Linked DNA regions of Sus scrofa. The protein of the gene in region 1 purifies or fractionates together with the protein of each later gene. This does not show direct contact. Links are inferred from orthologs where the notes say so. Each region holds a gene or a part of one and is shown in the gene's direction. Other genes may lie near its edges.

Evidence for each region.
Region 2: the proteins of MRPL34 (region 1) and RPL19 purify together in Homo sapiens (co-immunoprecipitation; 3 studies listed by BioGRID and IntAct, with this or other methods). This does not show direct contact. The link is inferred for Sus scrofa from reciprocal best matches to the Homo sapiens genes MRPL34 and RPL19.

What each region holds. Positions count from the first base shown.
Region 1 is NC_010444.4:60,377,177-60,380,498, reverse strand, and holds MRPL34 (39S ribosomal protein L34, mitochondrial), read left to right. Parts: upstream 1-1,531; 5' UTR 1,532-1,686; coding exon 1,687-1,760; intron 1,761-1,943; coding exon 1,944-2,157; 3' UTR 2,158-2,595; downstream 2,596-3,322.
Region 2 is NC_010454.4:23,031,272-23,035,569, reverse strand, and holds the start of RPL19 (60S ribosomal protein L19), read left to right. Parts: upstream 1-1,232; 5' UTR 1,233-1,375; coding exon 1,376-1,380; intron 1,381-2,318; coding exon 2,319-2,425; intron 2,426-3,738; coding exon 3,739-3,861; intron 3,862-4,298.

The sequences.
Region 1 (3,322 bases):
ACAGGCGGCAGTCGAAGCCCCCTGCACTGCAAATAGGATCTCCTTGGCCGGCTTCTGCCTTCAAGCTGCCCTTCAAACGGAGCCCCCATACCCCTCTCCCTGTGCTATAACCTTTCCAATATACAATGTTCCAGATCCTTGCAATTTCAGTCGGGGAAACCGAGGTGCATAAAGGGCACAAGTTTACAAGGCAAGATGAGGGGCAGAGATGGGACTTGGAACCACGGCTTTGTGATTCCAACTCCTGCAAATTGTTATTCGTTAAATCATTAAACAGATGTCTTGGAGCTTTGGGTAAATAGGGAATTGGAATTTCACAGATAGGCCAACTGGTGGCCAATTTAACTGGGAGCTGTGGTCCCAGCTGGAGTCAGAGAGGCCATGGTCCAGCCTCTGCCTTTTGCTGATATGTGACCTTGGGCAAACCCCTTTCCTGAGACTCCACTTATTTCTCTATGAAATTAATCCCCTCATAAATTTGCTATGCAGGTAAAACACTCAGCAGGGAAAGTGCTTCATACATTACTGGTGTTATTATTGTACTGGTGTAGTATTGCAGAGGTTTGCAAAATGGTGGTTCAGGTAGGATGGGCTTCAGAGGACAAGGGGTTAAGCATCCCTTGCCCAGTCCTATTCCCTGGAATTTGCTGCCAGAGTTGGATTAGGTCCAGCCACCCACTCTTGCCCACTCAGGGTGCTCCTGGGAGACTACAGTTTATTCATCCAGAAAAAAAAATTCCCCTCCCCCTCTCCAAGCGGGGAGGATGCTGGGGTGCCTGCAAGTCTGGCTCTTGAGGACCCCCTCAGCTTCAGGGAGAGTCTGGGGAGAACTGGGGTTGGGGGGGCAGTGTTGAGCCAGAGGGAGGGGCAAGTCTGGAGAAAGGGGAGTATCTGAGGAGGATTTTTAAAAGATGAATAGGAGAGCACCAGCCAGAGGAGGGTATAGCTGAAATTTAGGATGTGTGTGTATGTCTGTCGAGAGGAGAGTGGGCTTCAAATGCCTGGCAGTGGAGCTGGATATTTTCCCGGGGACTATGGGGAGCCAGAGATGGTATGTGAGAAGGGAAAGGGTTCATATATGAATACTAGAAATTTTCTCCTAAGGTCTGAATGGGGGTACGACCAAGGGCAAGCTTGCAACCCTTGGGTTTTACAGATTGAGAAACTGAATAACCACCCAAGGACATACGGCCAACTTGAACTCAGACCGCCTGGGCTCACAGCCAAGAGGCAGAGACTTGGCTGGGGCTAAAGGAAAGCTGCCAGCCAGCTGTGTGCCATCTGCCTGGCTCCCGCTGGGGGTGGGAAATTCAACCAGCCGTCTCCTGAGGCTGCCACCAGCTGCGCCACCGTCACCCAAGTGTACCCTCCTCGGGTCTGCAGGAAAAGAAACTACAACTCCTAGCAGACCCGGGGACTTAATGCTCTGTACGCAAGCGTCTGCTGAGGAGGCGCCGTTCTCCTGCCACCTGCTGGTCCATCTGAAAAATTACATGCGCCTGTGTGCAAGGACGCTCACGCCTAAGGTGTGGGCGCGCAGACGTAGAACTACAATTCCGGGAGGCCCCCGCGGCAAGGAAGGCTCCGCTGTAGGAAAAACTACAACTCCCAGAAGTCCTCGTTCGCAGCTGCGGAACCTACGGGTTTCGGAATAGCTGCCACTGGACGGAGTGCCGGCGGCTGGACATGGCTTTCTTGGCTAGATCCGTGGGTCGCCTCTTGGACCCCGTCAGTAGGTCAGCGGCGCTAGTAGGTGGCAGGTGAGTCCTCAGTGGGTCCCCTTCCCAAATCTGGGAGTAAGAGCGGAGTCGAGGGGCTGACCCCAGCTATTTACCAACGACATGACCTTCCTTCCAATGCCTTGCGAACTCGAGGTTGAGCGCCACGCAGCAGTCACACAGCAATCTTTTCTGACCTTTCTCGCTTTTTCTCTGACCGGGCAGGTGGCTCCAGCCCCAGGCCTGGCTGGGGTTCCCGGATACATGGGGACTCCCCGCCATGCAGCAGACCCGGGGCAAGGCGCGCGGGAACGAGTATCAGCCGAGTAACATCAAACGCAAGCACAAGCATGGTTGGGTCCGGCGCTTGAGAACGCCAACCGGGGTCCAAGTCATTCTTCGTCGCATGCACAAGGGCCGAAAATCATTGAGCCATTGAGAAGGGCGACGCTGCCGCCTGGACCCCTCATTAAATCATTTCCCTCGCTTAGCCTGTGGCTGTTTTTGTGGAGAGCTGGAGAGCAGGACGACTGGGATTCGGACGGACATGAATATCCCTCACATTGGCCCAGGGGAAGAAATCTGGTATTATACTGGAAAAAGGAGTGGAAGTCAGACCTTGCCCGGTGCTTTTTTACGCTTTTGAATTAGGAAGAATTTCGAACTTAACGCAACAGTCTAGTGACCAATTACCCACAACCCATCCTGCCCCCTCCTGAGATGCAAATCTCAGGCGTCAGATTATTCTGTAAATATTTCAGAAGGCACCTCTTCAAGATAAGGGCTCTTTAATACATATTCACAAAACTTTTCACAGCTGAAAAAAAGTTATCAGTTCTTTTAGTCATTGAAAGTCTAATAAATGTTCACATTTTCACTTGTGTTGTAAAATGTCGTGATTCCCACGGTTCTAGGAAGGCTTGTGGAGAGTTGGGAGGGATATGAACCCAACCACCTGCCCCTTGGGGATGGGCTATGTGACTTTGAGCAAGACCTTAACTCTCTGAGGCTTATCTGGCTTCTACAAAATCAGGTGCTCGTTTCTCCCTTGCTGTGTTGTTGCTGGAGTAATAATACTAACTTCCCCTTAGTAACCTGAGGAGTACTTCCTCAATAAATCCTTGTTCTGTCCAGGCTGTCAGGCTGGTGAGGAGTTGGGAGGTAGATTCGTACGCAGGCAGTTTGGACATAGTGGAGTCAGGGCTGGTAAGAGGGTGGTGAGGGCTATGGGGCCATGAGGAAGCACCCGACTTGGCATTGGGAAGAACACAGGGAAGGCTTCCAGGAAGAGATGGCAGGGTGTGGGAGGGCCGAAGGAAGGAGGGACTAGAGAGGGGTCAGCATAAAAGGTGGACGAATTTGGCTGGAGGGGCCCAGGATATGGGGCCGAGGAGGTGGGACTGAACCCTTGGGGTAATGAGGAGTCACGGGAAGTGTTCGAAGAAGAGTCTGGGTTGTCAGTTCAAAGATAATTCAAGCAGCTAGTGTGGAATAGCTTAGATATGCTGAAACCTAAGATTGGGACCCTGGGGAGGAGGCTGAGAGTGTCATGGTGGGTCCCCACCTCCGGGACCTCCAGGTGCCGCAGACTACAAATTCCAAGA
Region 2 (4,298 bases), on another chromosome or scaffold:
CGCCTTGTTTATCCATTCTAAATGCCATGGTTTGCATCTACTAATTCCAAACTCCTAGTCCATTCCCCCCACCCCCCGCCCCGTGGCAACCACAAGTCTGTTTTCTGTGAGTCTCTGTTTTGTAGATAGATTCATTTGCACTATATTTTATTTATTTATTTTGCTTTTTTTATGGTCTCTACCTGTGGCATGTGGAGATTCCCAGGCTCCGGTGGAATCTGAGCTGCAGCTGCCACCAGTCTACATCACAGCTACAGCAACACCAGATCTGAGCGCGGACTGGGACCTACACCACAGCTCTCGGCAACACTGTATCCCTAACCCACTGAGTGAGGCCAGGGATCTAACCAGCGTCCCCATGGATACTGAGCCACAATGGGGATCTCCCATTTGTGCCATATTTTAGATTCCACATATGAGTGATATTATAAGGTTTTTGTCTTTCTGACTTAGTACGATAATCTCTAGTTGCACTTCCTTAGGTTTTTGCATTGGGAACTCCAGAGCAAGAGGAAAGAACTATGAGAGGTTCTAGCAACCAGGTTTAAGACTTTCACAGCTATTCATTCGCTCCTTATTTCTCAAGTGCTTACTATGTGCAAAGCTCCATGGCTGCCGGCATACAGTATGAGCCAAACAAAAGACTGGTTCCTGTCATAAGGAGCATGCCTTTTTACTTATTTATTTTTAAAGAGGAGCTGGTCTTAATGCCTGCCTTCGCAAGCTGCAAACGTTAACTCATGCGATTTTCACAACTGAACAACGGATATATCACGTACACTATACGGAGAAGGAAACTGAGGCACTAAGAGATCAAGGACCATAGGGGTGCAAAAACATCAGCTAGTATCTTTGGTGGTTTATTCTGACCTCCAGGGTCTCCCAATAATTAAGAGAGTGAATACAGGGCTGCTTTTGTCTGAAATCCGCCCTCATTATTCCCTCTTGCTTCACCTTCCACACCCGCCCCGCGCCAATAAAACACCCAAAGAACCCAACGCGACTGCGAGAAACGGGCCACTCTAGCAAAATTCCCTCAACCCGCCTGCGCAACCCAGCTGACTTCCGGCTTCCGCCATCCACGTGACCAGACACCCTTGCCACGCATGCCTAATAGGAAGTCGGACTATACCACTTTGCCATGCCGAAGGGGTATATTTTCTATGTTTTTAAGTTTAAAACCGATTTCTGATATTAGGCTTCGAGTATCCCGGATCTTTACAGAAGATATAAGTACGTTTATGGTGGCAGAAGATGAAAAGACTGGAGGGGAATACGGGCGAAAGCGGAGCCAGGGATGAGCTCTCCCCTGCACAGATAATGGGAGGAGCCTGGCGAGAGCAAGTTCTTTCCTTTCGCCGCTGCGGCAGCAGCCATGAGGTAAGGGCTCCAGGGTCTCCGATTTTGGTTGATTCCGGCTGCCAGGGCACTCGACGGCTCGATACCTCAGCCCCTGGTGGGAGAGTTGAGGTGGAGACGGCCCTGAAGCGGCCGGCCTTGGAGCTTAGGGTAGGCCGGAGCACACTAGCTCTTGGCCTGGAGAGGATGGGGGTGGGAGAGCGTCCTGGGCACTCTTACGCAGGAGGAAGGGCGAGCCCTGCGCCCCACACGTGTCCGAGGCTACTCCTGCGGGCAGAAGAGAGGCGGTGGCGGGAACCGGGCTATGGCTTCCTTACTCGCTGGGTCAATCTGTGGCTCCGAGCCCATGTCTGCTTGCATGTGACGTAGGACGGGGCCTCGCGTAGGTCTCGAGCCTCCGACTGTCCGGGATGAAGCAATCCCTGGTTCTTTGATGCCTTTTATTCGGTGGAGCCATCATAAGAAAATCCTTAAGGCTAGTATATTACTGTGATAAGATGAGAAAAACGAGCCCAGGAATCAGAAGACTGACTAGCGAATCGGCTCCGCTGGCCTCAGATTCTTCGCGTTAAATAAATTCATTTTCACTGGTGCATGTCAGAGTATTAGCTCCCTCTATAAATTTCAATTTCATCCGTTCATCTTATTTTCCAGAGGAGAAAACTGAGGCGCAAATACGTCAAGATATAGCTTGGGCTTTGTCTACATTATGGGATGGGTAGTTGCCAAGGCATTAACAAAAATCTGGATACAGGGGAGATTTTTAATTTGGAGGTGCCATTGTGGGTGGCAAAAGCCTGGGGCGGGAGAGACATGTTTGTCCTTAGTACTAAATGCACATACATCCATATCCTGTGGTATATTTCACATTAGAAGGCTTTGGAGGGCAGGTCTTGCTGGGGATGCTCCTTGCCCAGGAATGGTTTCCAGGGCCTGATAGTGTTTTCTGTTTGTTACAGTATGCTCAGGCTTCAGAAGAGGCTTGCCTCCAGTGTCCTCCGCTGTGGCAAAAAGAAAGTCTGGTTGGACCCCAATGAGACTAATGAAATCGCCAACGCCAACTCCCGTGAGTTCTTGGGTTCTGCGACCTTTCTTTGCCCTATCACCTGCTCAACCCTTGAGGGATGAAAGGTGGCACAATTGTGTTAACTTGAATGTGCAGATTTAGGAGAGCTCATAAGTCGGACATTGGGGGGTGGGCATCCTTAGGAAATGGAAGGAATCAAAGAAATAGGAAATGCCAGGGGTTCTTCTCTTCCTGCCATTTGCCAGAATGAGAGAATGGAGGTTAATGGAACTACCCAGTGTTATATTAGTAAATACGGTTAGAATGGATGTTCTGTTGTATAGCTATATGAAGGGTTTGTGAAGAAGCAAACTGGAGTACTGGGGGTTAGGGATGAATTGGGAAGGCCTGGGCCTCAGAACAGAGGCATGTTTGTACATAATTACTCAAAGTAGTTAGACAGTGTCAGTCCTGCAGATAACATTAGCATACCACAGTACTTCCATAAATAGGGTTCCTGCTGTAGCACAGCGGGTCTTAACCCGCATTGCCACAGCTATGCCATAAGTTACAGCTGCGGCTCAGGTTTGGTCTCTGGCCCGGGAACTTCCATATGCCATGGGAGCAGCCATATTTGGGGGGGGGGGATGATGGCAAGGCAGATTTTATTCAGGACCATTGAAATAGTTCTCCGGGGACCAGTGCAGTGGGATTTTACAGTGAGGGGGAGAGATTGGGCTCAAATCAGAAGGTAGCATGAGCAACTAGGGATTGACAGCCAAGGAGCACAGTGTAGGGGTCAGTGGGAGGAAAATTACTATGAAGAAACAGGTAAGGGGGATTCTGACTAAACTGACCTAAAAAAAAGGATTCTTCCTGAAATCACGATAGGGGTTTCTGGTTAACTAACTTAAGCGGGGTTCTTTCCAAAATGAGAATTTACAAGGAACTGTAAGGATGGGCCTAGAAGGCTTGGAAACCTGACAAAGGTTGGGTCAAGCAGGAATCTTTGTCACCATCAGAGAAATTTTTAACCTGTTTGGGTTTGTGGTGGTGTAATGGGTGTTCAAAACTTCCTCACCTTATTTTAGGCTGGTAGCTAACAGCTGAGACAGGATTTGAAGGACTAGGCTGTATTTGTATACTATTTTAATCACCCCTCCCCAAATATAGAGAGAGTTTGCTATAAAATACTCTCGATGGATGAAATTCTTATGTATTTTAAGAAACAGAGGTTCCCCTATTTCTACTGCTTTTGAAACCAGGGATGTGAGTGGTATCTCTGGCCTCTTGTTTGTGCCCTGGCTTGTGACTGCTGTGCTTGAGGCCAGGCAGCCCCCAGGTGACTGACCAGATACATTGTGGTTTCCCAGGTCAGCAGATCCGGAAGCTGATCAAAGATGGGCTGATCATCCGGAAGCCTGTGACTGTCCATTCCCGGGCTCGATGCCGGAAAAACACCCTGGCCCGCCGGAAGGGCAGGCATATGGGCATCGGTAAGTGCGTTCTTCCCTTTACTTAGACTCAGGAATGATAGAAGATTAAGTCTCGATTTCCCATTCTGACTCATTTTGAGCGTTTTCTTACTCTGATACTTGGTGTTTCTCTGTCTGCAAAGCAGAAAGTTGACAACTGGTGTTGGTGTCGAAAGTATTGGTAGAAAGAGGTCACCTTTATCTGCCAAGGATTCTTCTGGATACTTGGAAAATGTTGTCCAATAAATCCTAAAAGCCCTTTCTTGGCTCAGGGTGATTGATCGAGGAAGATGAAAGTCATACACACCACCCTTTTTTTTTTTTACTTTTTACTTTTTTTTTTCCTAAGGGCCGTACCCACGGCATATGGAGGTTCCCAGGCTACGGGTCGAATCAGCTGTAGCCGCTGGTGTACGCCAGAGCCACAGCAATGCCAGATCTAAGCCACGTTTGTGATC